Notamacropus eugenii: one gene and its partner. The protein of the gene in region 2 interacts with the protein of the main gene of each other region in a pairwise test. Links are inferred from orthologs where the notes say so. Each region holds a gene or a part of one and is shown on either strand. Other genes may lie near its edges. The genes, in order: KIZ and TACC3.

Region 1 (15,879 bases), on a different chromosome or scaffold from region 2:
CAATATGGAACTATGGCCAAAGGGCTATAAAACTGCACACCCCTTGATCCAGCAACACCTAATACTATTAGGTGTATATCCCAAAGAGATCATAAAAATGGTAAAGGGACCTACCTGAACAAAACAAGAAATCAGTTCTCTTTGTGGTGGCAAAGAAATATTACTGTTCCATAAGAAATGATGAGCAGGCAAATTTCAGAAAAACCTGGAAAGACTTGCATGAACCAAGGTTGAGTGAACTGAACAGAACCAGAACACTGTACACAGTAACAGCAACACTGTGGGATGACTGACCTTGACAGACATAGCTCTTCTCAACAAGGCAATGATCTAAGTCAATTCCTAAAGACTCATGATGGAAAATGCTATCCATATCCGGAGAAAGAATCATGGAGTCTAAACGCTGATCAAAGCATACTATTTTCTCTTTTGCTGTTGTTTTTTCTTTCTAATGGTTTTCCCCTTTTGTCCTGATTCTTCTTTTACAACATGACTAATGTGGAAATATATTTAATATGATGGCACATGTATAGCCTATATTAGACTGCATACCATCTTGAGGAGGGGAGAGGGAAAGGAGGAGGGAAAATTTAGAACTCAAATTCTTATAAAAGTGAATACTGAAAACTAAAAATACACATACATAAATTTTTTAAAAAGAAAATTTTAAAATGGATGTAATATATTAGAAAGAACATTTAATTACATTCAGAAAACTTCAGAAAATTATTCAGATTTGCCACCTTTTAGCTGTTTGAGCTTTATCAAATCACCTAGATTTGCTAAATCAAGTCATCAACAAGTGTTTATTAAGTGCTTAGTATGTACTAGCTACTTAATTTTTTTGATTTGTCTTAACAAGTTTGTGTGAAGGCTCATCTTCACCTGTAAAATGAGAATAATCTGTTTATTCTACCTTTCTCTGATCGGTAAATAGAAAAAGCTACTTTGTAAAACATGAATATATATGCAAACACATATTATGCAATGAATATGTTATAGCATCATACACATAAATATCTATGTATAGTTGTAGAAAATTTTTAAAAGGGCTTTAGCCATAGGTAATCAGTACCCTTCCATCTGTTCATACCATCTTCTTCCTCTGTAACAGCAGGGTTCTCACCCCAACTTAACAACAACGTAAGCCACAAGGCCATCTTTTGTCCCAGTCTGCCAAGACTTTACCAAACATAGGCACAGCTCTAAAACTGGCACCCTCTTAGTTCGATGTTGGGACAAAATGAGGCACTCACAAGTCACTGAAAATTTAACAAAGGAGGAAGTTTACTTTGCCCTAACCACAGCAACAAGGTGGAATTTAGATTCTCTTGACTCAGTTCCCTTCATCTCTACCTGCAAACTCTTCTGGTCAGTCAGTCATTAGGGTTCTTCTAACCAAATATTGATTCAAATGGTCTTGGGCACCCACCAACTCTGCACAGTAGCAAGTCCATGAGGTTGGAACCTTTTATGGCCCCAGGAAGGTGCATCAGGGATACTGGGGCTAATCAGGTTATGTACAAGAAAGGCAGTTGTGTCAGGGTCAAGGAAAATGTATTAGAAAACCACTGGTCCTACAATATAGCAGGTACCCTTGTGTAGGGGGCATCTATATTTGCCCTAATTTGTCTCTTGCCGCTAGACCCAAATGGCTCCAGAGGAGAGAGTGAGGTTGGTGACTGCACAGCCCTCCCTCACTTAAATCCAATTCACTTGCAAGTCATGGCATCACCCTGATGTCATGGTCTTCTTCAAGAATAAAGGACAAACAACAAGAACTGCATAGTGGGAAATAAAGCTGCCAACTGGCATCTGTTTCTATTCTCTGGGAATAGGAACCTTCTCATCCTGGTGCACCACCTCTCTTATGTTGGAGTGGTTATAGTGTGCTCCCTGTCCAGACTTTTCTGTCTCCCTATGCTGCCCATGAGCTGGAAAAATGATTGACTGTGACTTTTTCTTGAATTTCCCCATCAAGAATCTGACTAGAGTGTTTTCTAGATCTATTTGAAGCAGGGTTGGGTTTTGTTTTTTGTTTTTTTGAGGGTGGGAGAAGAGTAGGGAGCACTCTCTGTACTTCTGTATTCTTTGTACACCCCCTATACTTCTTCCTGCTTTTCTGCCATCTTCCCAATGATCTCATCAGATTTAATGGTCTCTTCTCAATCCTCATCCTTCTTGACCTGTGACCTTTGACACTGATCACCCTTTTTCTTGATACTGTCTTCTTTCTAGGTTTTCATGCTATTGCTCTCCCCTGGTTTTCCTTCTACCTATCTGATCATTTCTTCTCTGTGTCCTTTGCTGGATCTTCATCCAAATCATGACCACTAACCACAGGGGTCCCTAAAGGCCCTGTCCTGAGCCCTCTTCTCCCTCCATACTACTTAACTTAGTAATCTCATAGCTTCCAGTTTCAATTATCATCTTGCATGGCAAATTTTATACAGAACCACATCTAACTTCATAAGATAAAGACAGCTAGGTAGACAAGTGGATATAGCACTGGACCTTGAGTTAGAAGAACCTTAGTTCAAATCTAGCCTTAGACATTCACTGTGTCACCCTGGGGGTTCACTGAACCTCATCTGCTTCAGTTTCCTCATATATAAAATGGAGACAAAATTAGCCCTTATCCCTGTTGTTGTGAGGATAAAATGAACTATCTATAAAGCACTTAGCAAACATTAAAGCACTACATAAATGCCATCTGTTATTATCGTTATTATCTTTGCAGTTCTCATACAGGGTCAGTATGTGATTATTATCCCATTTTAAAGATGAGGCAACTGATCTTTATACAAGGTCACAGAACTCATAAGAGGTAGAGTCAAAGTCAAATTCAGACTTTCTGACTTCAAGTCCAGTGAACTTTTCATTACATCACACTGGTGATACAACATGGGTATAACAAACTATAACTTTTGAGGAAGGATTACATGCTCTAGTCTACTCCAAAAAGTACACTGTGTTGCTACTTCATATTCTATGACCTCTAGATCTTGTGTTTATATAAATAACTGGCCAGTCTCCATTAGTTGATCTACACAGCTAACTTTCTCTTGCAAAAGATGTTTTTTAAAGTATTTGTCTTTGCTGAATTATATTCTATTTGACCCTGAACTCTACAATTAATACTTTGAAATTCATGAGATAAGACCAGATGTTTGTATTATTTTTTGGAATATTGAGACATGTGAATAGGGACACTATAAAACAACAGTAGATGATGTATGTTTTTTATGATATGTAATTTGCTAGTAGTAAGCCTACTTACATATTATTATGCTCATCATATATTGTACATTTTAAGTAAATTACATGTTCTCCAAATTGCTGGACATGCAACTGTACCATCCCACCAATTTGCACAAACCACTCACTCCATTTCAGAATACACACACTCATTTCTACCTCTCAGAATCCATATCTTTCTTTGAGACTCAACTCAGATGCTATAGCCTTCTTGAAGATTTTCCAAAAGCCACCTGAAAGGCAGGGTGGTAGTTACTAAGAGCATTGGAACTAGAGTCGAAAGATACCACCTCTTACACTAGCTATATGATCTTGGACAAGTCACTTAATTCCAAAGCCTCAGTTTCCTCATCTAGCAAGGTTAAAAAGGTTAAGGTTAAAACGAGATGCTTATAAAGCATTCTGTAATGCCTAAAGCCTCAATGTGAGCTACTGTTATTACCCACCTCAAGTTATCTTATATAACTTACCGATGTCAACACTATATCCCCAATAGAATGCAGATTCCTTGAGGACAGGGACTATTTTGTTTTTGTCTCTGTATCTCTAGTGCTTAGTATTGTGTCTTGAATGTAACAGATGCTTAACGTGATTGCCGAATTTAATTTTTTCAGATTCAACTATCAATTAAAAGTCAAAATTATCACAGAGCAAATTAAATACAAATTAGTATTAGTAAGATTAGTGCTCTCACACCCTTTTTAGTATCTGTTATCTAATCACTGACATCACTACCATGAAAATCAATACTGACTTGTCATGTACCAGTGGCAGTCAAGTATAGCAGTAAAGATCATAGACCCAATGAGACAGAATTTTAGAGTTGAAAAGGGCCTAAAGTTAAGTAGTTGAATTTCCTCATTTAAACAAGTGACTAAACCAAGATTATAGAACTAATAAGAGATTAAAAAGTCAGACATCCAGACTTTCAGAATAAGGCTCTTTATTAACATTTACAAAAGGTAATTCTGAATTATTTATTAAAATAAAGGATTGATTTCCTTTTTAAAAGTATAAGACCAATAAAGGACTAATTAGATTCCTTTTTTCACTAAGTTCAATTTGCTTGAGAGAAGACAATTCAAGTTAATATAAAACATAACACAAGTAATATTTACAATATAACTGCTACACTCTAAGGATAGGAAATATCCCTGATATGGAAAATGAGATAACAATAAACTTTAGTCCAAAAATACTACTTTATCTAGGGTATAAAATATGCTATAAAATTTGTCAATTCTGGATTCAGGATCATAAAGTTAACTGGCTGACAAGCTTAGGGACAGACACTTGTCCAGTTCTTGTCCTTTTTGTTGCCAATGCCTAACGGTTGTGATCCAGTGTTCATGGATCACAACACGTGCTTAATAAATGCTTGACTGATAAATATAAACAAACCACCCTTATGCAAATAATTATTATACTACTATAACAGGAAAGTGAAAAGAGTTTTCCAGGTACTGAAGAAGAGTACTGTGTTATGCCTTTATTAGTTGCATAAAACAACTGAATACAGTCATGGTTAAATCAGGTTAATCAATTTCTGTGGATGACAGGAAAACTACATTAGGTGGATAAAAATTGTGTAGAGGTAAAGCAAAAGTTTGGCAATGATTTTTCGCAAGTAACTGGCTACTGACTGAATTATACAGGTTGCTATTGGGCATGACAGTATAGGACACGTTCAAAAGCTAATGGTTTGAACTTTCAAATGTACTTTTTTCAGGAAAAAGTAATTTTGTTAAAATTTTGTCAATCCTTCCTATCTAACTTTCCTTATATGGAGCTATTTTTAAGCTTTTCATTGCATATACTATTCCCCTAGTATCCAGAATCACAGTCCAGTATCTTTTTTCAATACTTCATTGATTTTTCTGTTCAGGCATTTGAAAGTTGACCTTCCCACTGGGTGGCCAACTGCTATTACTCACACTTTCAATTACTTTTGCAGCAAAAGTAAGCTACAGAAATTGTTTTGGGATGTGCAGTGTTTTTTGTTTTTTTTAACTTTCAGTAACAAATTTTCATCCTATTAAAACCAGATTGTTTCCAAAAAGTTCCTCGTTTCCAACTCTGACAAAAAGGCATTCTGGAAAAGCTTTAATTTTTCTGAATTTATGTGATCCTTCACTGGAAATCTTTTCTGGACCTCACCCATTCCCCCAGTCACATGCAAACATACACACCTGTATACTAAAGATACCATCCTTATCCCAACCCAAATGGACTTCTGAAGATGGAAGTTTTAAAGTAGGCAAAATAGAAAGACCTGTCTCCTGTGGAACTGAAGTTGACACAAGACAGCAAACTCTCCCAGGACTGCAGCAACTTTTCGGCTCTAAGACAAGGGTTCTTAATCTTTTTTTGTATTATGAACGGGGCATTCTGACGAAATGTATATTCCTCTTCTCGGAAAAAAAATGTTTTTAAGTGCATGGAAGTAAATACATAAGATTACAAAGGAAACCAAAGATTGGTGAAAATAATGATGAATTTTTTTTCCCCTCCACGTTCTCCCACTCCCTGGAATCCGTCCATGGACCCTAGGTTAAGAAGCTTTCTACCTTGGGGGTGGTCCTAGAATTAAAAGAGCGACAGGGTCCCTGACATCTAAGTGAGGCGAGTGTAAGGCTGATCAATACAGGATTGTCTCTGCCCCCGCCGTCCCCCAAAAGCTCAGGAAAGAGAGGAAAAGGGGGGGAAGAGAAAAGGGGAGAAAGCGGAGAGAGATGAAGGGCAGGGAAAGGGCGGCCGCTCTCGCTCACCCGCCGGCCAGCCGCGCGCAGTAGCCGCCCCCCCGGGCCGGACCAGGGACGGCCGACGAGGGACGCTCCACGCTGGACACCACCCCCAGCCCCCTCCCCTCCACCGGGAAGGGGGCGGTCCCGAGGACCTCGACCACCCCGGCCCCGCCCCCGACCTCGGCCCCGTCCGCCCCTACCTGTCTCTTAGCGCACCCTGGAGGCGGCCCAGCTTTTCGTAGTAGTCGGGGCCTGAAAAGGGGCCCTGCGCTGAGCACTGCGCCATAGCGCGCGCCCCCCGCCCCGCCGCGTCCCTCTGTATTTACCGGGAAAGCCTAAGCGACCTCCCCGGCATGCTCTGCGGCTCAGCCCGCTCCTCCCTCCTGCGCAAGAGCGGACCGGGGCGTGAGGGGGGAGGGGGCTGCTGAGCTCCCGCGACCTGGGCGGGGGGGGGGGGGGGGGGCGGGGAGGACGCTGCTGCGTGCTCCGCTCTAGCCCCGCCCCTCCCTTCCCAGAAGCCCGAGCTGGAGCGGGCCGTGCCGGAAACGCCCCCCGCCTGCCGACTTTGTCCTGTGCGCCTCGTGTTCAACTTGTCCACGCACGTGAACATGGAGCGGGAGCATCCCCCGGTGCTGCCTTGGGGCTCAGAGGAAGGCCTGCCGGCCTGCTGGCTGTTCTCCGTGCCCCCGGCCCTGGCCATTCTTTGTGGCTGCCCTCATGGCCTGGGATGCCCTCCCTCGTCCTCCACGCCTCCGGATTCCCTGGTTTCCCTCAAGCCCCAGCTCTGGGTAGACGCCTTTCCTAGTCCCTCGGAATCCTAGGGTTTTCCCACTGGTGGTTGTACGTAGCTTGCTTGGACGTCGTGGTTGGCGTCCGCTAGACTGTGAACCCGAACGAGGACTGCCACTTGCTTTCTCTCCGGTGCGTGGCACAGAGGTATTCAGTAAATGCCTTTTGGCAGAAATCCATCCTAAGGCCAGATCTGTGTAGCAGAATCACCCTGATAATTCAGCGTTGTGGTCTGCCCTTCCTTCTGGAAAAAGGCCACGACCTCAGGGAGGTGATGACATGGCTGGCAGCTGAATGGGATTGGAATGAGGGAGGGCTGTGCCAAGTCACCAGCCTCACTTTCTCCTCCAGAGCCATCTGGGTGCAGTGGCCAGGTACAGATCGGGATGACTGGAGATGGCCCAGCCATTCAGGGTGTTGAACTTACTGAGAAGAATGCTTCTACCGGTAGAATGTGAGTCCCTTGCAGGCAGGGATTTGTCTTTTCAGTTTATATATCCAGACTTAGTGCCTTGCCCTTAAGTACCAGTCAGATTAGACATAGTCTTTAGATGTCTTAGTAAAAGATCTAGAGTTGGCTTTGATCAAAAAAGTAAGGCCCTGGCAAAAAGCATGCAAGCTACTGCTGGACTGTACCCCACACCCCCAGTTTACCTGCTTACCTTTGCGTTTCACAGGTATGGGTAAAATCACCTCCACATCACCATGAAGGCTTCAGTGAAGGATGGAGGTAGTATGGATACTATTACTCCCATTTCACAGGTGAGCAACAAGGCTTAGAGATTCCCACAGGTAATTAATACTGGAGCTACAATTCAGACCACACCTGATGTTCTTTTGGTTTGCTAAGCCCCTTAAATTCACTGAAGTAAATGTCTCTGTCAAAGTGTCTCCTCCGTAGACTTTTGTTGTTGTTTCTGTTCTGTCTGACTCTTCATGAACCTATTTGAAAGTTTTCTTGGCAAGGATACTGGAGTGGTTTGCCATTTCCTTCTCTAGCTCATTTTACCATTTGAGGAAACTGAGGCAAATAGAGTTAAGGGACTTGCCCAGGGTCACACAGCTAGTAAGCATCTGAGGCCAGGTTTGAACACAGGAAGATGTCTTCCTAACTCCAGGCTCAGTAATCTCTCCACTTTGTGAAAAGATTGGCAGAGAACCAGATCATGTATCTTTCTTAACTATGGCTACAGAAGTTCTTAACCAAACAAGGGATAGAGGTTGTTATCACAAAGAATTAAATAGATCATTTTGATCAAATGAAATTGAAAAGTGTTTTTTCAGTAACAATCAATGCCCGCAGGATAAGAAGAGAAGTTACCAATGGTGGGGGGGAGGGGGACTTTACATCAGATTTCTCAAGTTTTTTATATCTGAAATATATAAGTAATTAACACAAAGATCAAGAGCTATTCCCCAGTGGACAAATGGTCGGAAGATATAAAGTTCTCAAAAGAATTGCAAACTAATAAGAATCAAATGAAAAATTGTGTTGAATCACTCATGTATGTCCTTCGTTGCCAAAGAAGACAATGCCATCAGAGAAATAATGACATGACTTGCACATGACTTTGTTTTGAGTGAGGAAGGGCTGTGCAGGTTACCAGCCTTACTTCTCCTCCAGAGCCATCTGAATCCAGTGACCTGATATTCTTATAATAAGAAAAATCAGATTAAAACAACTTTGAGGTTTTGCCTTACATCTAGAAAATAGACAAAGGTGACAGAAGATGGGGTTAACAAATGTTAGAGGGCTATAGAAATACAGGCATATGAATACACTTGGTGGCACTAAATTAACTGGCTCAATCATTTGGAAAGCACTAGTTACTAAAATGTTTATACCTTTTGACTCAGAGATCCCATTGCTATCAGAATATATTCTAAGGAGATCAAAGGCAGAAAGAAAGCTCCCAAATAAAACAAAAATATTTAAAGCTCTTCTACTTGATGAATCAAAAAATGAAACAAAGTGGATGCTCATGGTTTGAGGAATGACTAAATGAATTGCCATCTTAAATATAATGGGGCATTACTGTGTTATAAGAAATGAGGAAAGGGCAACTAGGTGGCACAGTGAATAGAGCCTGGGACCTGAACTCAGGTCCTCCTGACATCAAATCCGGCCTCAGACTCTTAGCTCTTACTAGCTATGTGACCTTAGGCAAGTCATTTAACCGAGATTGCCTTGCCTCCCCCCTCCAAAAAAAAAAAAAAGAAAGAAATGAGGAATAAGAAGGATGCAGAGAAGAATAGGAAGACAGGAACTAAAGCGAATTCAGGTTAACAAAACCAGGAAAATAATACAAGCAATAGCTACTACAGTGTAAATGGAAAGAACAACAAAGAAGCAATACTTGAAATGAAGAAAATGACCAAATTTAGCCCCAAAGAAGACATTGGAGAGGTGGGGAAAAATGGGTGTGGAACTTTGCATAGATGATGATCAACTCAGTAAATGTGTAGTTTAGTTTTATGGAAGTGCTCTTTTCTCCCCTTTTCTTGTTTGTTATAAGGAATGGAACTCGTGGAGAAAGGGAGAGGTATATGTCTTTGGAAATTAAAAAATATCAATTTTTTTTTAAAGTATCTCCACCAGTTAACAAAGGCTATTAAGTTTAACCCATGGTTATTTTAATAAAATTTCCTTGCTGGACTGTGAAAAAAAGTCTGTAAACAGCTAGAAGATTCTATCCTCAATAACCAGTATAAAGACCCTGATTTTTGTATAAAAATATATAGTGCAATAACTGATAATTTAGGTAAAAGTAGGGTTTCGTTTGAACTACCACAATAATTACATCAAACTTCTTTGTTTTGGTTTATATAGACCTGGCCAGAGAATGCTTACAAATGTCCTCTAGTCACAAACTGGACCTAGACTTTGTAAATCATTAAACTGCTAAATATTTTGATTTTCTCTATAAAATATGTCTAGTGTCACTTTGCTTATAAAGTTCTTTGAGATTCAAAGATGGGAGACACTGTATAAATTTGCATGAAATGATTCAAGATAGCTTTCCTGCTTTCAATATCATAGAAATAGCTTCTGTGCAACTCTATCCTTTCAGTGATTGATGTTCAGCTGAAATTTTCTATTATGTTGGTGGAATTAGCACAGAATGGCAGTTTTCTTAGGTCTTTTAAAAAATTGTAAAATAAATGGAAATTCTAGTATCCCCTTAGTCATATAACTATATACTTATGAAATCAAAAATAAATGTATTTCTTCAAATAAATTTTAAGGGTATCATGCAATAGACACATTTAACAAAGTATGAATGAATGAATGAAAGTATGATGAACACATAGGATTTCTTTAAATAAAATGAACACAGTTAAAAATATCTTGCATTTGAATAGTACTTTTAAAAATAACTTTTACATAGACTATTTTATCTTAAGAATTCCATAAAGTAAGGCAGTTATTATATGTAAATAGTAAAATGACATGCCCAACTTCTCAGAACTGCTAAGTGGCAGAAAAGGGACACAACACAGTTTCCAAACTATTAACCCAATGGGGAGTTTTTTTCTCTTTTATTATATGTGTTTACACTTAGTATATATTTTGTATTTCCTTATGTGTGTACATACTGTTTTTCCTGAAAAAAAAAAGTGAGATCTTTAAGGTTGGGGATTTTTTCTTTGTATCTTTTTACTGCCAGTGCCCAGCTTATAGTAGTCACTTAGTCAATAAATATTGATTAACCACCTACTATGTGCCAGGCACTGCTGGAAATACAAATATAAATTTTTAAAAAATAATTCCTGCCCTCAAAGAGCTTACATTTTAATTAGGAAGGACACCATATAAAAGGAAGCTGAAAAAGGAGAGGAGAAGTAGAAGAAAAAAGAAATCCAAAAGCAACATAGCCTGTGGAAAAAGGGGAGAAGATTGTATTGAGTCCCTTTCTGAAATAGAGTACCTAGAGTTCATGGCCCTACCCTGTAGTCAGTAGTAGGCATATAATAAATATTTGTTGACTGATTTTTCACACTGCTTTGAAGTTTTCCCTTCCCTTTCTCCTCTCCCCCACCACTGTTCTTGTATCCCAAAATAATTATTTCAGTTTATCATAATGAAGAATGAAGAAACACATGGCATAGTGACTCTTCATTCTTACCCTGTTGGTTTCATAATTGACTGAAGAATGTAACCTATCACATTATTGGTAGATAACACAGGAATACCCTAATTCATGGGCAGCTTAAACCAAATATGCTTCCTATTTCTTTTAAAGATTTGAATATCTAAAACTTCAGCTATTTTCAGTGACTTTTGTGGAATTTCAGAAAGACCTATAAACTCACTTCCACTCATTTCCTAACTACTTGCCTATACTAAGACCATCACCCTTACTTCCCCACCACCACCACCACATTGGACTCTGCCCCAAGATAACCCTGGCTCTGATAGATGAATTAGTGGTAATCTTGCCCAGAACCAGGTTTCTAAGTCACTTTCCAGTCAACTCTATATCATCATTACCTCCATCTCCATTCCTAGGTCCCCTTTACATGTTGTCTTCTCACATTAGAAGTTAAGATGCTCATGGTCAGGGACTGTTTTGCTTATTTGCTTGTATCCCCAATGCTTAGTACAATGTCTCACACAAAGTAAGTGCTTAATAAATGTTCCAATTAGCTAGCTGACTCCAATTTATATTGGAATTTACCTGAAATAAGTTGGTTATCTCAGAAATGCTGGGAAGTTAGATTGTCAAAAATTATTGTAATCCAAGCTTCTCTGGGCATACCTAGTTTTAACATGGAGACTCTCTTGAGTGGCTTTATGCATGCCCATCTTACCTAACATGGAGCCCACTGCATCCTCTACCACATGGGGGGGGGGGTAGCCTTCTTTGGCCTCCTATGTCCTTAAAACTGGTGAGAGCAAGCTGTTCACTCTTTTTTCAGCTCTATTCTTCCATCTTTTCAGCTGTGCTCTTTCAGTGTTCAGCTGTGCCCAAAATCTGGACATCATGAACTGAACCAGTGAGAGGAAAAGGAAAATCCTTCCCACTCCCCTCCCCTTCTTTTACCCTGGCTCTTACTTGTTTCCATTCTGTGTTGTTTGTCCTCAGTTTTAGATCCTGGAGATCATGGATCCTGAGTTTGAGCCATTGTAACCTTGCAGCCAGAACTGCAGATAGGGTGATGTAGCAAGCCATCCAAGGATGGAAACCCTGGGATTTGAAAACCCCTTTTCCCCCAAAGGAGGCCAGATTTAAACTCAGGTCCTTCTGACCCCAGAGCCAGTGCTCTATCCACTGTGACACTTACACACACACACACACACATGCACGCACACACACACGCACACGTATTTATATAAAAGATAGACACTCTAATGAGACATTTTTTACAAATGGGCTTTGTAAAGCTCATTTGTTTGTAAAGTCCCCCAGGGTGGAGTTTGGATTTGGAACTTGGACTGTGATGTCTGGGAACCAAACTAAGCTATGAACCTAACCCTTTTCTCTTCCCCAGAGAGTAAGGTAGTTCAGAACAGTGGAGGGCTATGCTTCCCCTGTGATGGAGGAATAACTTTGTATATTTGTTATTATACCCCAAAGTAAATATTCTTCTGTAAGAGCCCTTATATTATATTAGGTTTGGATATATAGGTTTACACTATATACAGTAAATGTGTGTGAATGAATTCGTGAACTAAATATAAAAAAATCACATAGAAATAAAGGAAAATGAAAAGAGGTACCTTTTAGATCCCTGGTTAGGGGGAAAAATTTTAATCAAGCAAGAGATAGAAGTGGTCATAAAAGATATAATAAAACAATTTCATTTACTTAAAACTAAAAAGCTTTTTGCATGAGCAAAATCAATACCATTAGACTAAGAAGAAAAACTGTCAATCAGGGATTTATTTTGCATCAAATATTTGTGATAAAAGTATAACATACAAGAAGTTTATGGGATCATTATAAGATCAAGAGCCATTCCCCAAAGGATAGTCAAAAGGTATGAACAATTTTCAAAAGAAGAAATGCTGATGATCAACAACCATATTAAAAACAATTCAAATCTGAAATGATAAAAAATGCAAATTAAAACAACTCCTTCCCATAGTCATCATATTGGCAAAGGTGATAAAAGACAAAGTCCATGTGAGAGGGGCTGCAGACAGATAATAAGCACACTAATACATTTGGTGGTAGTGTGAATTGGTCCAATCAGTTTAGAAACAGTTTGGAATTATTTGAGAAATGTCACTAAACTGTTGATTACCAGATATCACAGGCCCACCTATGATTATAAGTGGTAAGTACACCATCTACTCTATATAAGTTAGACTAATTTTTATCCTAAAAAGACAGTGAAGCCACCCTCATACTTAATTAGGCCACAGCATTGTCGCTCAAACCATTGGCATAGTTTCCTGGTTTCTCAAGTATAAATGTCCAGTATATAAAGAGTATGTTTCTCAGGTGACAGATGTCTTATTAGCTGTACTAGTCAACAAACACACTCTTCTGATCAACAGCAGGGTGGCAAATGCAGAAGTGAAGAGAAGTTTCTCCACCTGAATCAATGTTGTATCCTAGCTGAATAACTTTTCCATTTCTATCCTTAAGTAAACTAGACAACTAGGTAGTGCAATGAATAGAATGCTGAGCCTGGGCTCAGGAAGACCTAAGTTCAAATCCAGTCTTTAATACTTACTAACTGTATGAGTGAGCAAATCACTTAATCTCTCTCAGCCTGTTTCCTCATCTGCAAAAAAAAAGAGCATAATAGCACTTCTCTCACAGGGCTGTTTTGAGACTCAAATGAGATAATATTTGCAATGGACTTAACCTAGAACTTGGCACTTAGTAGGCATCTAATAAAAACTTCTTCCTCCTTTCTTTGCATAATGATAGATGGTTCACAAATAACTCGTTTTGTTCCAAATTGGAACTTAAACTGTCAGTCAGGCCTGGTTCTGAACACTTGGTGTCCCCATCAGGATTGAATCAGAATTATCTTGTGGTTAATTTCATGATTGAAGTGGGGAAAAGGTGAAATGTAGAAAAGAGAGCCTCTAGTGATTGGATGGCCAAATGCAGGAGCCATATATCTGCCTTACTTGTATGTGTGTGTGTGTTCATCCTTCGTTGCCAAAGAAGACCATGTCATCAGAGAAATCATGACGTGACTCGCATTCAACTTCGTTTTGAGTGAGGGAGAGCTGTGCAGGTCACCAGCTTCACTTCTCCTCCAGAGCCATATGAATCCAATGACCAGATATTCATCAGGATGACTAGAGATGACCCAGGATGAGGCAGTTGGGGTTAAGTGACTTGCCCAAGGTCACACAGCTAGTGGGTGTCAAGTGTCTAAGGTGAGATTTGAACTCAGGTCCTCCTGACTCCTGCACTGGTACTCTATCCACTACACCACCTAGCTGCCCCTGCCTTACTTGTAGCTGCATACATAGATAATAATTCTTCTTCTGTAGCATAAATATTCTAATAAACCTGAAGACATATGTGATACTGTTTCCCATATGGGGCTCTCTGTTTGTGTGGCTTGAATGCTACCTTTCTTTAGACCTACAGAAAGACAACATGCTGACCTATTAATTATACAGGTAGGGAATACAATATCTCAGTTGCCCATCAAGTGGGTTCTTCTTGTGCCACCTGCTCAGCTTCGTCAACTATCTTCTCTGGTATATGCTTGAGCTGGCCCTTTCCTAAGAGGTTAAGGTATTCCTATTGACCACCAGAGAACAGATACCTAGACTACCCCCTGATTGTAAGGCTGTCCTGTAGAACTAAACAACTTTGAAAGTTGTATATAAAATTTAATCAAAATATTTAAATATGAGTTCCTCTGTTGGTAACTAGTTTAGAGCCTCTTTCTTATAACTGCCTTCACCATTTCAGTTCACTGACTACTATATTCATAGATTTAGATACTTAGTAAGTTGAGATCAAATGAAAAGCAACTAGATCAGACATCCCTCTATTGTGATACACACCTCCAGCTATCTCCTAATTGTTCTCTCAGCCCTCTCTCACTCAAAATCAAGTGCAAGTCATGTTATTATATCTCTGATGGCATGGTCTTCTTCGGCAACCAAGGACAAACATACTCAAAATTGTTCTTCTGTTTCCCTTCCAGATCTTAGTGTGTTTTCAGGGAGAATTCTGCACAGATCCAGTTCTTGTAAAAAGATTAGGGGGAGTAGTATTTTGTGCCACACCTCAGAATGGTAAATAAAAAGGGAAACTGGGAATGATGATAAAGGGTTATCTCTCCTCATTACAAACTCATTAACTAAAAAAGAAATTAGTTTCCCTGGTTCACCAGCCCAGTGGGAGTCATAGTAATTGGCTATCTCAGCAAATTTAAATCTTTTCTCTTAAGATGTCGTCTTTGGTTCAGGCTCAAAACTTCTCCCAGTGCTACCGTTTCTGGCTTTAGGCAGGGCTATAGCCTATATATTTTCATCATTCTGGGTGGAAGATGGTCACTTCTGACTACTTCCATCTCTCTCTTCCAAAAGACTGAATTGCAAAGAGAGAAAGAGAGAAAGTTAAATGAGGATGTTATGGTGTATGATTAGCATCCTCTTTGTCTTCCAGTGTAATTTCTGCCCATTGCAAACAAGAGTTCACTGAGGAGGAAGGAAAGGTAACCTGCTAGTTGTGCTAGGATCATCAATAATTGCTTTGCCCTTCTCTATCCTTTTTTGTAGAATGGAAAATTTTTTTGTAATTGAATTCTCTATTCTCTGTATATGGAGAAAAATCTCAACATGAAATATGATTAGTGTTCAGTATTTCATGATCATAGAAACAAAGGACCAAAGAAATCAAGAGGTGATGGAAGTTAGGTGATAACCAAAGCAGTATTTTTAAGAAGATTATGTGACATAAATATTTTGTGATATTTGTCCCTACCAGAAGTTCTAAATAGACGCTGTCACACTAACAAATAATGTATTCTATATAGAATGTTAGTCAGCACCAGTGTTCTACAAGCAAAATCTATTTTATTTCTTACAGATCCTTTTCAAATCATTAATTTGCTCATCTGTGCAAAGTCAGAATGAACTTACTGAGGGAAACAAGTAAAT
Region 2 (14,961 bases):
ATAGGAAAGTGATTGTAGAACACTGAAAACAAATAAAATAATTTTTAAAAAAGTATATATGTAGCCTCAGTAAGAACTGCAGGTGTAACTAATCATGAGTACTCCTAAGTAGAAGCATAAAATAAAGTTAAAAAATACTGTGGCAGAAGGAAATTGAGAGTTATTAAAAAGGCACTGGAACATTATATCACTGTCTAGTAGTAACAGACCACAGACCAAGGCTTCTTAAACTTTTTCCACCCATGACCTCTTTTCATGTTTCAGCAGCGTGGGAAGGCATGCACAGTGCACGTTGTGTGTTCAAAACAATACAAACACCTCAGATTCATTATGAAGTTGATTTTTAATTAAAATTTGGTCGTTGCCAAAATCTTTTACTGTTGCCAAAATCTTTTACTGTTGCCAAATTTTTCAAGACTCCATATGCTATCTTGACCCAGTTTAAGAAGCACTACTATAGACAACCTAGATACCATATTGCACAAAGGAAAAAAACAAGTTGTAGGAGGGAATCTGAAAAACAAAATGAAAAATTGAAAGCAAAAGTTAAAAGGTAGCACAAAGAACAAAACAAACATTAATCAAAAATTTTACTAGAGACTTGAAAGACAAAAAAACATTAAGAGAGTACACCTTAAGAGTACTGTACACAGAAAATTTCTGGCTCTCTACATGGTTGCAAGAATTCCAACACAATGAAATAGCAAGTTGGGGCAAATTAGAAGTCAGTTCTGTGTTTAATCACCTCATGCCAAGCATTCATAGTCTGAATCATTGATTTACACAGAAAGTTTAAACACTCAACAAGAAAACAACATACTGGATGAGGAGCAAAAAAATGGTCCTCATTAAAGCAGTTAAGCCAAAGGGCATTTACACCGATTACCTCTGTGGCAGTCGTTCAGTTCCACACATGCTAAAGATACGTAAAACAGATCCCAATGTAGGGACATTGCTAGGGTATTTGATATCTATGTGGAAAATGGTTCTCACTTACAACACACCATCAACCATGCAACACCAGCAACTGATAAGTGTGGCATTGTTCAGGAAGACAGTTTAAGTCCATTACAATCCTGCCTAGTCTTAAATCCATTATCTTCTCTCCTATTTAAGTAAAGCTTCAAATTTAAAAGGGCATCAAACCAAAATATCTTCATACACAGTAAACAGCTCCCGTCAGCTTGTGCCACTTTTCTCTAATCAAAACATCACCTATCTGATAAGTGTAAAATTTTTAATGTACAACAAGGAAAGGTACAAACTAAAGCCTCTGAGCTTGAACACGGAAATGAAATTGAACCAATGAATTAAGGCAATACTTACAATACTTTGATCTCCCTTCAAGCAAGACACATCTAGCATAAGTTGTTTGTCTTTCATTCTCAAAGGGGACCATGACATCAGGAAGGTGATGCCATGACTTGCAAGTGAATTAGATTTAAATGAGGGAGGGCTGTGCAAAATCATCAGCCTCACTTTCTCGTCCAGAACCATCCGGGGGGTCCAATGGCAAGATGCAAATAAGGACAAATGGAGACAGCCCCACTGCAGTGGGAAACCATGGCCATTTTAAGCTCAGATCGTTCCCGGGCATCAGTTTGACTAAGGCAGCACACATTCAGTGATTCAGGCTAAGTAAGAAATAAGGCAAAGAATGACCTCTTTAACCTAGTCAAAAAAAAAAAAAAAAGATATACATACATACATACACACACACACACACACACACACACACACACACACACACGTTGATAGATAGATAGATATCTTGGAGGGGAAGACCCTCAGGGTTTCTAGCCAAAACACAAACAACTGGCTTTCATTCTGAGCAATCAGGGCCCAAATAATGAGGCACTGGGTGTGAGCTGCTGCCCATAGAGGTATCCAGACTTAGTAATCAAAGAAGATAATTCAATCAATCAACCAATATTTATTAAGTATCTACTATGTGCCGGGTACTATGTTAAGCACTATACAAAAAGAGGCAAAAGATAGCCCCTGCCCTCAAGGAGCTTACAGTCTAATGGAAAAGACAACATGCATGCAAACAAACACATACAAAACAAGCTATAGAAAGGATGAATAGGAGATATTAACAATGGGAAGGCATTAGAAGTAAGAGGAGTTGGGGAAAGCTTTCATTAAAAAAGTGGGATTTTAGTTAGGACTTAAGAGGAAGGTGGGGAGGGCAGCAGGTGGAGCAGAGAAGGAAGAATGTTCCAAGAATGGGGCACTGAGATGGAGCGTCAGTAAGGTAGAAAAAGCCTGTGGGGCATGAATGGTTGACTTTGAATGTCATAAACAACATTCTGTATTTGCTCCTAGAGGCAAAAGAGAACCACTGGGGTTAAATGAGTAGGGGGATGACAAGATAATACATAATGAAGCATCCCGTAGGTTACAAAGATTGGATCTCCTACCAAATGCTTAGCAAGACAAGACCTGGTAGTTGAATTATACATCAGAATCAGATACATTACACTGACCCATAAAAAACTTGAAAAGGTGTCACCATGACAAAAATCAATCAAGTATTTTAAGTATGTAATCTGTGCTAGGCACTGTGATAGGTGTTAGGGATACAAAAAACCCCCAAAATGAAATGGCTCCTGTCCTCAAAAATCTTACATTCTAGCAGAGGAGGGGACAGGTACAGGTTAGGTATATAAGGCAGATAATACATTAACCTTGGAAGACAAGGCAGGATTAGTAGCTGGAGGCTGAGGAATTGGGTGGGGGAGGCCCAAGAATGGAGGGGAGCAGGGCACAGAGATCAGGAAACTTCCTACAGAAGGTAACTTTTGATCGGAGTCTTGGAGAAAATCAGGGGCTCCCAATAAGCCAAGGTCAAAAGAATGTCATTTCAGTAGTAGGAGAAAGATCTTACTTGGAAAAGGTCCACCTGAAAGTTTGGTTAAGAGAAGGCAAACAAGCTAAACACAAACAGTTTATTCACTTTTAAGCTAGCTTATTACATGATCACGGAGCCAGAAAAACTTTTGACTGACTAATACAAGAATGACCAGGCTTAAATCGGTTTAGGACAATCCAAAGTTGTCTGTGTCCTTCTGATTTATGGTCTGGATGAGTGATTAACTATAACACAAGAAAGGAATTTCTTAATTGGATAGGTTGTAAATACAATAAGAGAAGAGACTTGAGAAGGTGTTGAGTGAAGTTACAACTCAGAACATCTGTGTTTTCTCTGTCATTAACATGTTGTAACATAGTACATGTCCACAAGATAATAAAAAAAAGTCCCACTATTCAAGATAGTATCTCAGGTTCAGGGTCTCAAAGTATGCTAAGTCAGCCCCATCTGCCCTTGTTGACATAGGAAGAGGTATTCTCTGCGTTTACTTCAGAGAACAAAGAGACTGTTAGGTCCAGGCTCTTCTTCAAGCTCTGGCCCTTATTAAAGTCCAAAAATGATATTAAATATTATCAATACTTACAGACAAACACAACCTCTCAAAGCCTCAGTTTCCTCCTCTGTAAAATGAGGATAATATCCTTGCCCTACTTAGCTAACAAGATTGTTGTGAGAAAAATATCCTGCAAACTTTAAAGCACTGGAGATTATAAAGAAAGGAAGCAATTTGTTCATGGTCACACAAATTAAGTGGCAGAGCCAGGATGTGAATTATTTGAATTTTTAAAAATCAATCATTTTATCCAAAACTTACTGATTCGACCTTTAAAACATCTTTTGCATCAATCTTTCTCTCTAGTTGAAGCTTTTATTACACTCACCTGGACCAACCTCCTAATTGGTCTTCCTGCTTCCAGGTTCTTCTCTCTCCAATTCATGCTCTATGCAGATGCAAAAATCATCTTACTAAGACAGATCTAATCATGTCCCTTTCCTGCTCAAAATTTCTAATGACTTCCTACTGCCTCTAGTATGAAACACATGCTACTTCATTTAAAGCCCCCTATAATCTGACTCCAACTTAACTTTCCAGTCTTTTTTTCCCCATGTTATTTCCCTTTTGAATTTCCAACCAAATTGAACCAGTAACTATCCACAAAACTCAACAAACCAATTGCCCATGCCTAGAATGCACTCCCTTCAACTCTGCCTCTCAGAATTTTGACCTTCCTTCAATAATCAGCTCAAGTGCTACCTGCTCTGGGAAGCCTTCCCTGCTAGCCCAAGGTGCTAGTGGCTCTTTGGCTTCACAAATTACCTTATCTTTACTCATCTCAGGTGCCTATCGATCTTCCACCTAGGAGAAGGTAACAATAACTAACCATGTATAATAATAGTAACATTTACACAGCATCTACTATATGCCAAGCACTGTGCTAAGCTCTCTACAAATATCTTATTGGATCCCCACACCCTGGATGTGGATGCTACTATTATTCCCATTTTACAGATGAGAAACTGAGGCGGGAAAAAAGGTAAATGATTTGCCCACAGTCACACAAGCTAGGAAGTATCAGAGGATGGATCTGAAACCAAATATTTCTAATTCCCAAAGCACCTTAACATACATCATGCCTGTGAGGAAGATCGCCCCTGGGGCAACCAGCACTATGCCCTCAAAGATGTGAGTTCATGCTCATGAAAGCAAATCTTCTGTTAAGTGTACACCCAAATATCCTGAGCCCCCCAACTCAGTGTGAAGCTTGGGTTCCTAAAGTCATCTTGGATATAGATATTGTTATTACCAGGTTAACAGAAATCTAGGCAAAATAGAGCACAGAACCAGTAAAAGCTGGTTCTGACTGAAGAAAAAAAAAATTTTTTTTCCTGCTACTTCTGGCACAGAGTACTGCATTTCCCCAGCATTTCCAGTACGGCCCCCATGCCTAGAATGCTCTTTCTCTGCATCTTCACCCTCCTGCCCTCCCTAGCTTCCCTTTAAACCTTGGTTAAGGACCCACCCACCTTCTGCAAGAAGACTTTCCCAACACTTCTTAATTCTCGTGTCTTTCCTCTGAGACTGCTCCCAACTTATCCTGATTACATCGTGTTTGTATGACTTCTTTCCATTATACTGTGAGTTCCTGGAGAACACAGGACAGTTTTTTTGTTTGTTTATTTTTCTAAGCATCCCCAGAGCTTAGCCCAGTGTCTGGCACATAGTAAACTGGTGGTTAATAAATGTCAGTTGACAGAAAAGGAAACAAACATCAGGAATCACTCTCCAAATGAGTGTATTCCCACTCTCCTTCCCTAATCACTCCCAGAAAAGAGCCTTCCAAAACAGTCCTAGTAAAGGAGATCAAAATCAGGTGAAAATAGGATGAAATTCCCATCATCCTGTTGTGCTGAAGTCTTTCTCCTGGAGTTCACACAAAATAACTTGACAACCTAACACTTTTATTCAAATACAAAAGGCAGTAATTGTATCCACCTGTGAACAGTTCAGAGGGCATTAGAACAGTAAGAGAAGGAGAGCCAGAAAAACAAACAAACAAAAAAAGCCCTGGCCTGTTCATATTTTAACTCCGCAGAATTTTTTTCTAGAATTTTTTTTAGAATATCTTTTCTACAATATTTTTTCTAGAATAAGAACAATAACTAATAACTGGCGTTTATATAGAGCTCTAAGAATTGCCGAGTCCTTTACTGAGCCTCACAAAAACCTAGGGAGAAGTAGGTACAATTACTATCCCTTTTATGGACTGGGGGTAGGGGGTGCGGGGAATCAGGGTTTACTAAGCACCTACTGGGTTCCAGGCACAGAGACAAGCGCTTTACAATTGCCATTTGTGGTCCTTCCTATTTTATACATAAGACAACCAGGGCGAGCGGAGGGGGAGTGACTTGCCCAAGGTCACCCCGCCAGTAAGTGTCTGAGACCCGGTGCATTCAGCCTCAAAACAGGGAAACCTCGGCTCCGAGAGGTTAAGACACGTGCCCGGGGCTCCCAGCTCCTTAGTGCTAGAAACAGGACTTGAACTCGGGTCTCGCCGACACCAGGGTTGGCCCGGATGGATCCTGGGGCCTTTCCTCCTCTCCCCACCCCCACCGCTCCCCGCAGCTCGCAGAGACCCGGACTCGCCCGCCCTCCAGAGAGGCCTCGCCGCCTCAGACAGCCTTCCACTCGCACGGAGAAGGGCAGGGCCAGGGAGGCACGACGTTCCTACCTGCCAGGCTATGGCCCGCAGGTCGCGAGCGCGGACGAGGAAGGAGAAGGGCTCCCGAGAGAGGGACGGAGAAGCGCCGGGGCGCAGAGAAGCAGCAAGTCTGAGAGCCCCAAGCAACGGCGGCGACTATGCTTAGACAGCTCCTCCCCCGAGCCGCCGAGATTCAAATAGGAACGGTCGAGCTCTTTCAGCCAATCAGAGTGCAGATCAGGAAGCTCATGCGCAGAGGAGGACACGCGCAGACTCCGTTGCTTCCACGGGTGCGTAGCCGCTGAGCCCCGCCTCCTTCCCTGCGCTCCTTTGTCCGCGGGTACCTTCCAGTCGTTCGGAGGAAGTGGTAGTGCTGGGAGCCAATTGGCGCTTACGAAAGTTCCGTTTCCGGTCGCGCGGTAAAGGCTGGGAAATGAAGTCGAGAAGTGGCCCTGCTATGTAGGGAAGCTATAAAGATTCTATGCCATTAAAAAGATGCTGAAAATATGCGGCAAATGTGTATAAGCTACATCGTTTAAACGTACGAGTAATAATATTCGTTATAATGATAACTAGAGAAGTAGGCCTCCTGATGGGTGCCGCAGCTTTCAAACTTTTTGGTCTTTACCAGCTTCAAAACTGTTGAGGACCCCAAAGGATTTCTTTTAGTGGGACACAGCCTTCGCTACGTATTTAATTTTTGTATGTTTGCATATTTAATATAGATTTTTTACGTTTGAAATTAAAACTAACAAACTTAAAATCTTTATTAATTCAATTAAAACAACAGTAAACATTCGAAGTAACATAAACATTTTTATGAAAAATAACTTTTCAAAAAAGATTGAAGAGTGGCGTAATTTTACCTATTTTGCAACACTCTTTCATGTCTGACTTTAGTGGCAATCTGTGCTAACAGGAGGGAGCACTAATGTATTCACAGATACATTCCCCCCAAAACGAAAACTCACATTTCACTTTCCCCAGCTGGGAGTCTTGGCACTTCCCTGACACTTTCAAAGACACTTCCCAAAATTCTCCTTTACCAGGAGGATCAGAAAGGGAAAGTGATTTATCTAAGGTCACAAAGCAACTGAGCAGCCAAATTGTGATTGGTCACGAATGTCCTGACTTCTGGTCCTGGACTCTGTGATCTGCTATGCTGCCTTTTTCTTTCTTCTCAAATACAAACAGATAAAGCCAGATTCCCTGGCTTTATAAAGCCCATAAATTACACTCAAAGAGAACACTTTGCTCACTGTCCTTTAAAACCATGGCTGCATAACAAGTAATTGTAACTCAGAATGTGAAGGGGACTAATTTACCCATAAAACTGAAAGGACAACAATTAAAAATCTGAATTCAGCAATAAGTTGCTTTCAGGAAACTTTATAAAAGTGAGAGATAGACACAAAGATAAAATAAAAGGCAAGAGTAGAATTTAATGTGTAAAAAAAGCAGGAATAGTAATCATCTCAAAGTTAAAGTTAAAATAGATTTAATCAAAAGTGAAAAATACTCTGTGTCAGCAATATTATTCAATAGTTTTAGAGTGACCATTTAAAATACCTAGATTATATAAAATACCTGAGTGTATTCCTGCCAAAATAGACACCACAACTATATGAACATAAATATAAAATGCTTTTTATAGAAATAAATGCAGATCTAAATAATTGAAGTAATATTTATTGTTCATGGGTAAGTAAAGCCAATATAATTTTTAGAATGACAGTTTTACCTAACTAATCTCCGTATTCAGTGCCATCCCAACTAAATTACTAAAAAAAAATTATTGAGTTAAAAAAATATAACAAAGTTCATTTGGAAGAACAAAAGGTCAGAAACTTTAAGGAAACCTGGGGGAAAAAGATGTAAAGGAAGTAGATTTGGTAGTATCAAACCTTAAAGTGTAAGGTGAGAGCATTGTTGAAGTGTCAAAAAGATAATTTCAATTATTTTAAGTTGAAATTTTCTTCTATAAATAAAACCTATGTAGCCAAGAATGCAGAAAATCAGGAAAAAACTTTCATAGACAATCCCTCGGATAGGATGTAAACAGGTTGGAATATTGCTGTGATGTAGGAAATGATGAGCTGATTGATTTAGAAAAACATAGAGACTTAGACTTAGGAAGGAAGATGCTATACACCTTCAGAAAAACAGATGATGGAAGAAAATAAGCATAGTATGGTCTTACATATATATGTATTTTATATGGAAATTTGTCTTATATTGAATCCTCTCTTATGCTCAGCTATGTACATGGCAATAGTTTTTTTCTTTTCTAATTTTGTAATTTTAAGTTAAAAATAAAAAAATATTTAAAATTAAGTTTAGAATTTAAAAATTAATTTTTTAAATTTTAAATTAAAACAATAAAACAGCCATATAAAGAAAAGCAATTATATTAAAATACAGTAATCAAAATTTAAAAAAAAAAGACAAGTTCACAGACCCCCCGAATAAGGATCCTAATGATTTCCAATACTGTATCATTTTTGCTTTCCCGCAGAAGTAGCTTTTCACAGAGGAAGACGATAAAACTATATATGTCCATCAGACAAGTCACCACAAGAGGGCGATTCAGATAATGTATTTGGTCAGCATAGTGAAGAAATAATTCATAGAACTTTATAGCTGGAAGGGACCGCAGAAGGCTTTTTGTTCAGTCATTTCAGTCCTATCTGACTTTTTGTGACCCCATTTCGGGTTTTCTTGGCAAAGATACTGGAGTGGTTTCCTTTTCTAGTTCATTTTACAGATAAGGAAACTGAGGTAAAAGCAGGGTTAATTGACTTGCTTGGGTCACATAGTATTTGAGGCAGAATTTGAACTCAAGAAGTCTTCCTGACTCCAGGCCTCGAATTCTATCCACTAAGCCATCTGGGGCCATTTGTTCATATACTTCAGCCAAACTGGACTACAAAATTCAATATCATGCCACAGTTTTTGTTCTGTCTTGCTCATGTAGCAACACTTGGCCTCTCTTTTTTCAGTTTTTGATTCCTTTTGTTCTACACCACCATTATTTCTCAGTTCACTTCCCCACCACCGTTGACTTCTTTTGTCACCAAAGAAAAAAAAAAACAACTCAGCGAAACAAATTGGCACAACAACCAATCATGAAACATTCCATTCTAGTAGTCCCTGAACCTCAGACCAAAATTGGTGATACAGTTTATCAGATTTTGACTAATTTTTAGTGTCATTTTTGTTTACATGACTGTAGTCATCACATATATCATTTTCTTGTTTTTGCTTATTTCACTGTAGACATCAGTTCATACAAGTGTTCCTTTGTGTCTCTGAATTGGTCATATTCAAAAGAGAAATAGGGAGTCTGAATTAGGGTGATGGCTGGGTGAGTCAAGAGAAGGGGTGGCAATGTGAGAGTTATTGTGAAAACAGAACTATGAAGATTTGTTAACTGATTGGATCTGATGGGGTACAAGCCCAACCCAAGACCTTTTTCCCTTGGATCGGAAGAGTTGCTGGGAAGTCTGGCTTTTGGGGGATGGCTCCTTGGATTCCCCTTCCATTTCTCCCAGGCCACATACTCCCTATCTTCTATTTAGCATTTTTGATATGCCTCCCTTTGATCGTATTACCAGACACTCCTCTCTGGGTTTAATCTATCTAGACCACCCCTGGGACCTGAGATTACCTGGTGACACCTGGATTCTTCCCTCAGTCTTTTTCTGTATTTAAGTTCCATCTCGCCTCCATGAAGGCATTCAGATTCAGTCCAGCTCAGACTCTGCCTAGCTGAGATTCTATCTCGACTGCTTGTGAATACAAGTATTATAAATCTTAGGCTCCTAAAGAGTCAACCTAAGGTGGTGAATCTTTAATAAACTTTGGTTTTCTTTGATTTAAAGAAGTCTTGAGTCGAATTCATTTGAGCAGGACCTGGCGTGTCGGTATTTCAGGGTCCCCAGCACTCCTCAAACCTCATCAGATCCTTGGCCCTAAGGACAATAAGGAGTTGAGGAGACTGGGAGGTTGGTGCATGCAATTTCCACTGAAATAAGGAAGTTTGAGAGAGGGGAGGAGTTGGGTTTTTTGGTTGATTTTTTTCCTGGGGATGGTGGAGGGGAATAACGAGTTCTAGTTTGGACATGTTGAGTTGAAGATATCTGCAGGACATTCAGTTTGAAATTTCCTGTGGGGGATTAGTGATATGGGACTACAAGCTCAAGGGAGAGCCTGTGAGTCATTTGCATAGAGATGGCAGTTAATCTCAGTGCCACATCCTTTACATGGCCTTTCCTCATTTTCCCAGTTGTTTGTGTCTCTCCCAATTACTTTGTATTTATTTATCAAGAGCAAGCACTCTCAATTTGGTCTGTTTTCCAATGACTATCATAGATGCTCAATAAATGTTTGCTGGTTGACTTTTTGAATAACTGACTGCCTTTGCCTGCAAGGAATTTATACTATCCTAAGAGGATACAATATAGACACAAGTAAAGTTATTTTTTTTTTTACAAGTTAGTTTGAGGAGAGGAGAGAAGGCAGTAGTAAATAAGAAAATCCAGGTGACCTCTATTGAGGCCTTGAAGGAAGGTAAGGATTTGGAGATGCAAAAATGAGAAAGAGGGAACATTCCAGGCAAAAAGGAATGTGTGTACAAACACATGGGGGTGGAAGATGAAATGTCAAGTTTGTGGCATAGTTAATAGCCCATTTTAGCTGAAATGAAGTTCCTGAATAGGAATAATATGAAATAAAATTGAAAAAGTAGGGCGGGAGCCTGGTTGTAGGAGGCCTTAAATGCTTCTCCTAAAGGTCAGCAGTTCTCAACTTTTGTCTCAGGACTCCTTTATGCTTTTTAAAATTATTGAGAACTCCCCCAAGAGCTATTGTTAGAAGTGAAAGCACCTTGACATTATTATGAATACAATTTTAACCTCATAGAGCCCCCTGAAAGAGTCCCTGAAAACTAGAGATGAGCACTGGGGAGCTACAGAATGTTTTTGAGCAGAAAAGTAGCATCGTCCCACTCGTACCTTAGAAATTTTGGCAGCAGACCCATGTCTGTCTTACTCTGACCTCTCTAATCACCCTGCCCTATTCACATTGTCCTCTATTCCTGTAATGGACTCCCCTGATCTTTATCTCTCCAAATTCCTTTCTTCCTCCAAGGTTTACTTCAGGTATCACTTCCTTCCAAAGGCAGTCTCTCTCTCCTCAAATTCCTCAGAGCAGCATTGTTCCTGGATCCCTCCTCCGCTCTGATCACATTCTGCCTTATGGCAAAGTCAGCTGTGTTTTATTTCCTCAGATAATAAGTCCCTGTCTTGTCTGCCATTTTACCCTCAGTACTCATACAGTACTTTGGTCATATCAGTCAATTAACAAGCATTTAATTATGAAGGTACAAAATAAATTCAAGTTAATGCTTTGGGGGTTGGGGAGAGAAGGCAGGGGTGGGTGAGTGGAGAGACCACAGCACTTTGTCACTTGAGCAGAGTTTTGAAGCAAAGGAAGGATTCTAAGAGTCAGAGGGGAAGGGTAAGAGCATTCAAGACATAAGACACTAGTAGTCCTAACCATATGGCCAATAATGTGTTGAAAGAATGAATGAATAAAAATTCTTTGTAAGTTTGATTATCTAGGGAAAGGGTGGGGAACCTGCCGCCTCAAGGCCACATGTGGCCCTCTAGGTCCTGTGGTTGGCCTTCTGACCGAGTCCAAGTTTTACAAAAGAAATCCTTTTATTAAAGGGATTTGTTTTGTGAAGTTTGGATTCAGTCCAAGGGCTGAACTTGAGAAGCTAGAGGGTCACATATGGCCTTGAGGGGGCGGGTTCCCCACCCCTAAAGGGTTTTAGTTATCTAGGAATAGTGTGGCACTGCGGAAAGAGTCCTGGATGGGTTCTAATTCCTCCTATCTCAGCCTTTCTGCTCTCTGCCTCAATTTCATCTTCTGTAAAACACCAAAGAGTAGAACAGCTGATTTCTTAAGTACATATACTCAGAAAATGTCAGAGCCTGAATGGAGTTTGGAAATCAGCTGGTTCACTCTCTATTGTGTATATGTATTTACATATTTTATTTGCATGTAATTTATAAATAAATATATGTGTGTATACACAAATATATATACAAATATACATAAGAGGTTGGATATGTATGTATGGGTGTATTTATGTGTACACACATATGTGTATATGTACATGTGTGTTATATTTAATGTGCATGTGTATATAAATATAGAACTATAATTATATAATATAGAAATATGCTACATAATATATTGATATAATAATTTTATATATTTTTATGTAGTCTATATGTGAGTGTGTGTGTGTATACCACATAGACATAAGATGACAAACTATAGGAACTGCCCTGTTGGTTGAGCTTTGAATTGGCACAGCTATTCTGGAAAGCAATTTGAAATTATGCAAATAAAATGACTAATATTTTCATACCTTTAGACACAAAGATTCCTCTGTTAGGCAGATACCCTGAGTGGATAGAGCACCAGTGCAGGAGTCAGGAGGACCTGAGTTCAAATTTCACCTCAGACACTTGACACTCACTAGCTGTGTGACCTTGGGTAAGTCACTTAACCTTAATTGCCTCATTCTGGGTCATCTCCAGTCGTCCTGATGAATATCTGGTCTCTGGATTCAGATGGCTCTGGAGGAGAAGTGAGGCTGGTGACCTGCACAGCCCTCCCTCACTCAAAACAAAGTCAAGTGCAAGTCATGTCATCATTTCTCTGATGGCGTGATCTTCTTCCGCAACGAAGGACGAACACACACACCCTGAGGAGGTCATTGACAAAAAGAAAAGATCCACATACACCAAAATGATTACATCGGCACTTTTTATGGTAGCAAGAACTGGAACCAAAATAGGTATCCATTGGTTAGGAAAGAGGGAGAAGGAACAAAAAACAGGGAGGGGGGAAAGGGATTAGGAGAGGAGAAAGTGAGGAGGTGTAATCTTAGAGAAAATTTTCCTCTTAACGTCTGATAAAGTGGAAATGAAAATTATCCCACGAGTAGATTGTATGATGTGACAGAAGGAAGAGCCAAATGAACAATATATGATTGCAACAATGTAACAAGTCAATATTGGTATTCCACAAAACTGGGCAAATATACGGGTCAATTGCAGTTCTATATTGTCAGAGTTAAAGGACGCTTCCCATCTGTTAACAATCAATAAGCTATATTGTGGGATGTAGTCATATATACAACATTATGTGTATATATGTATATTTTGTGTATATTATATGTGTACGTATACACACACAGGCACTGTACATCTGTATTTAATCGTTAAAACTGGATGGCGTAGGCAAAGAAGGTGAGGTGGCTTGCTGCGGAGGGCAGAGTCCTGGGTCTGCCCCCGCTGGGACCGTCCCTTAAATACTGGGGGCGCCGCTTCCTCCCCTGTAGAAGAAGGGGGGCTGCTCCTTGAACTGAAGAGACCTCGCCTCTTTTTTGTCGCAGTCTGGACGATACCCAATGGAAGGCGAGCGCTCGAATTGTACAAGACGCTGAGAGATGTTGGAACCATTTAATGGGAACACTGCGGCTTGCAGACAGACCACCAACCCCCACCGCAAGCGTGGGTTAACGAGTCCAGCCCAGAGTAAGAGGATTCGGGCGTTCCAAGCCAAATCTGCGGTGATGTCTGAGCTGCACCTCCAGCGGACGCTTCTGTGACAGAGCGGGAGGAGGGCACGGGTTTGGAAACTACATTTCCCAGCAGCCCCCGCGGCCGCCGAGGCCGGGGACGGGAAGTCCCTGCGGCCCAGGGCGGGGGCGGGGCCGGGCGCCGCGGGCAGGTCGGTCTTCGTTCCACCGACGCTCCGGTCGGACCCCGCCGGGCTGGGCTGCCTCACCGGGCGGCCTGACGGCGCCCGGGGGACCAGCATGGACAGCCCCGAGGTGACCTTCACCCTGGCCTACATAGTCTTCTCTGTCTGCTTCGTCTTCACGCCCAACGAGTTCCACTCGGCGGGGCTGACCGTGCAGAACTTGCTGTCCAGCTGGCTGGGCATCGAGGACGTGGCCTTCGTCCAGTACCACCTGCGCAGGACCACGGTCACCATGCTGGTCCACTCGCTGCTGCCGCTGGGTGAGTGGGGGCGGGGGCGCCGGGGGGCGGGGCGGCTGACCAGGCTAGTCTGGCTTGACTCAGCTCCTTGTCTGTCGCGCCCCCTACCCGGAGGGGTCACACCGCACCCCCACTCTGGGACCCCGCATTGACGGCCCTGGGCCAGGCAAAGCCGGGGCGGCGCGGAGAGAGGCCGGTGGGGGACCCAAGGAAACCCGCTCCTCCCTGGGTCGGCATGAAGGGGCGGGGTGCCTGCAGTCTAGACCCCTGGGGAGGGCCGGGGGTGCGGGCTCAGAAGCCTCCAGGGGCTTCAGTCCATTGGGGACGACCCCCACCCCAGGGTCCCAAGGGGGTGCTGCACGGTGCAGAGGGTCCAGCCCCCAGGCTGGGGAAGGACCCCTGCAGAATGGGGTGGGTGGGCTTGAAGGAAGCCAAGGGAAGGGGGGCTGCCCTTCCAGCCCTAAATCATTAAGCCCTATGAACCATTCCACAGATATGAAGAGCCTTTGTGAGCTCTTCACTTCCAGTCAACCAGCCTTTCTAATGTTCGTTCCTGTTTTGGGCCAGGCTCCTGAGAAGATACAGAGATGAAAAGTGGTACATTATCACAAAGCCCCTCCCCTGAAGGAGTTTATCCTTAATCCGGGCAGGAAAGAAAGGATGCAGACAGGAAATACATGCCATGAAGGCAACAAAACAAAATGCAAGTCAAACATAATGGACAGTGTTGGTTACACATTACCAAACTTCAAGGACACTTCCTTTCTGTTTAAAAAAAACAAAAGGCTGTAAAACACAAGTGATA

Evidence for each region.
Region 1: the proteins of TACC3 (region 2) and KIZ interact in binary tests that used the Homo sapiens proteins (3 or more experiments, as listed by UniProt). The two-hybrid records come from large-scale screens. The link is inferred for Notamacropus eugenii from reciprocal best matches to the Homo sapiens genes TACC3 and KIZ.

Annotation. Positions count from the first base shown.
Region 1 is NC_092872.1:596,696,294-596,712,172, reverse strand, and holds the start of KIZ (centrosomal protein kizuna), read right to left. Parts: upstream 6,420-15,879; 5' UTR 6,358-6,419; coding exon of another isoform or gene 6,329-6,357; 5' UTR 6,289-6,328; coding exon 6,203-6,288; intron 6,144-6,202; exon of another isoform or gene 6,027-6,143; intron 1-6,026. UniProt on the Homo sapiens protein: Centrosomal protein required for establishing a robust mitotic centrosome architecture that can endure the forces that converge on the centrosomes during spindle formation. Required for stabilizing the expanded pericentriolar material around the centriole.
Region 2 is NC_092877.1:50,054,827-50,069,787, reverse strand, and holds the start of TACC3 (transforming acidic coiled-coil-containing protein 3), read right to left. Parts: upstream 6,353-14,961; 5' UTR 6,106-6,352; intron 3,817-6,105; exon of another isoform or gene 3,757-3,816; intron 1-3,756. Other genes in the region: TMEM129 (E3 ubiquitin-protein ligase TM129), read left to right, coding at 13,973-14,177. UniProt on the Homo sapiens protein: Plays a role in the microtubule-dependent coupling of the nucleus and the centrosome. Involved in the processes that regulate centrosome-mediated interkinetic nuclear migration (INM) of neural progenitors.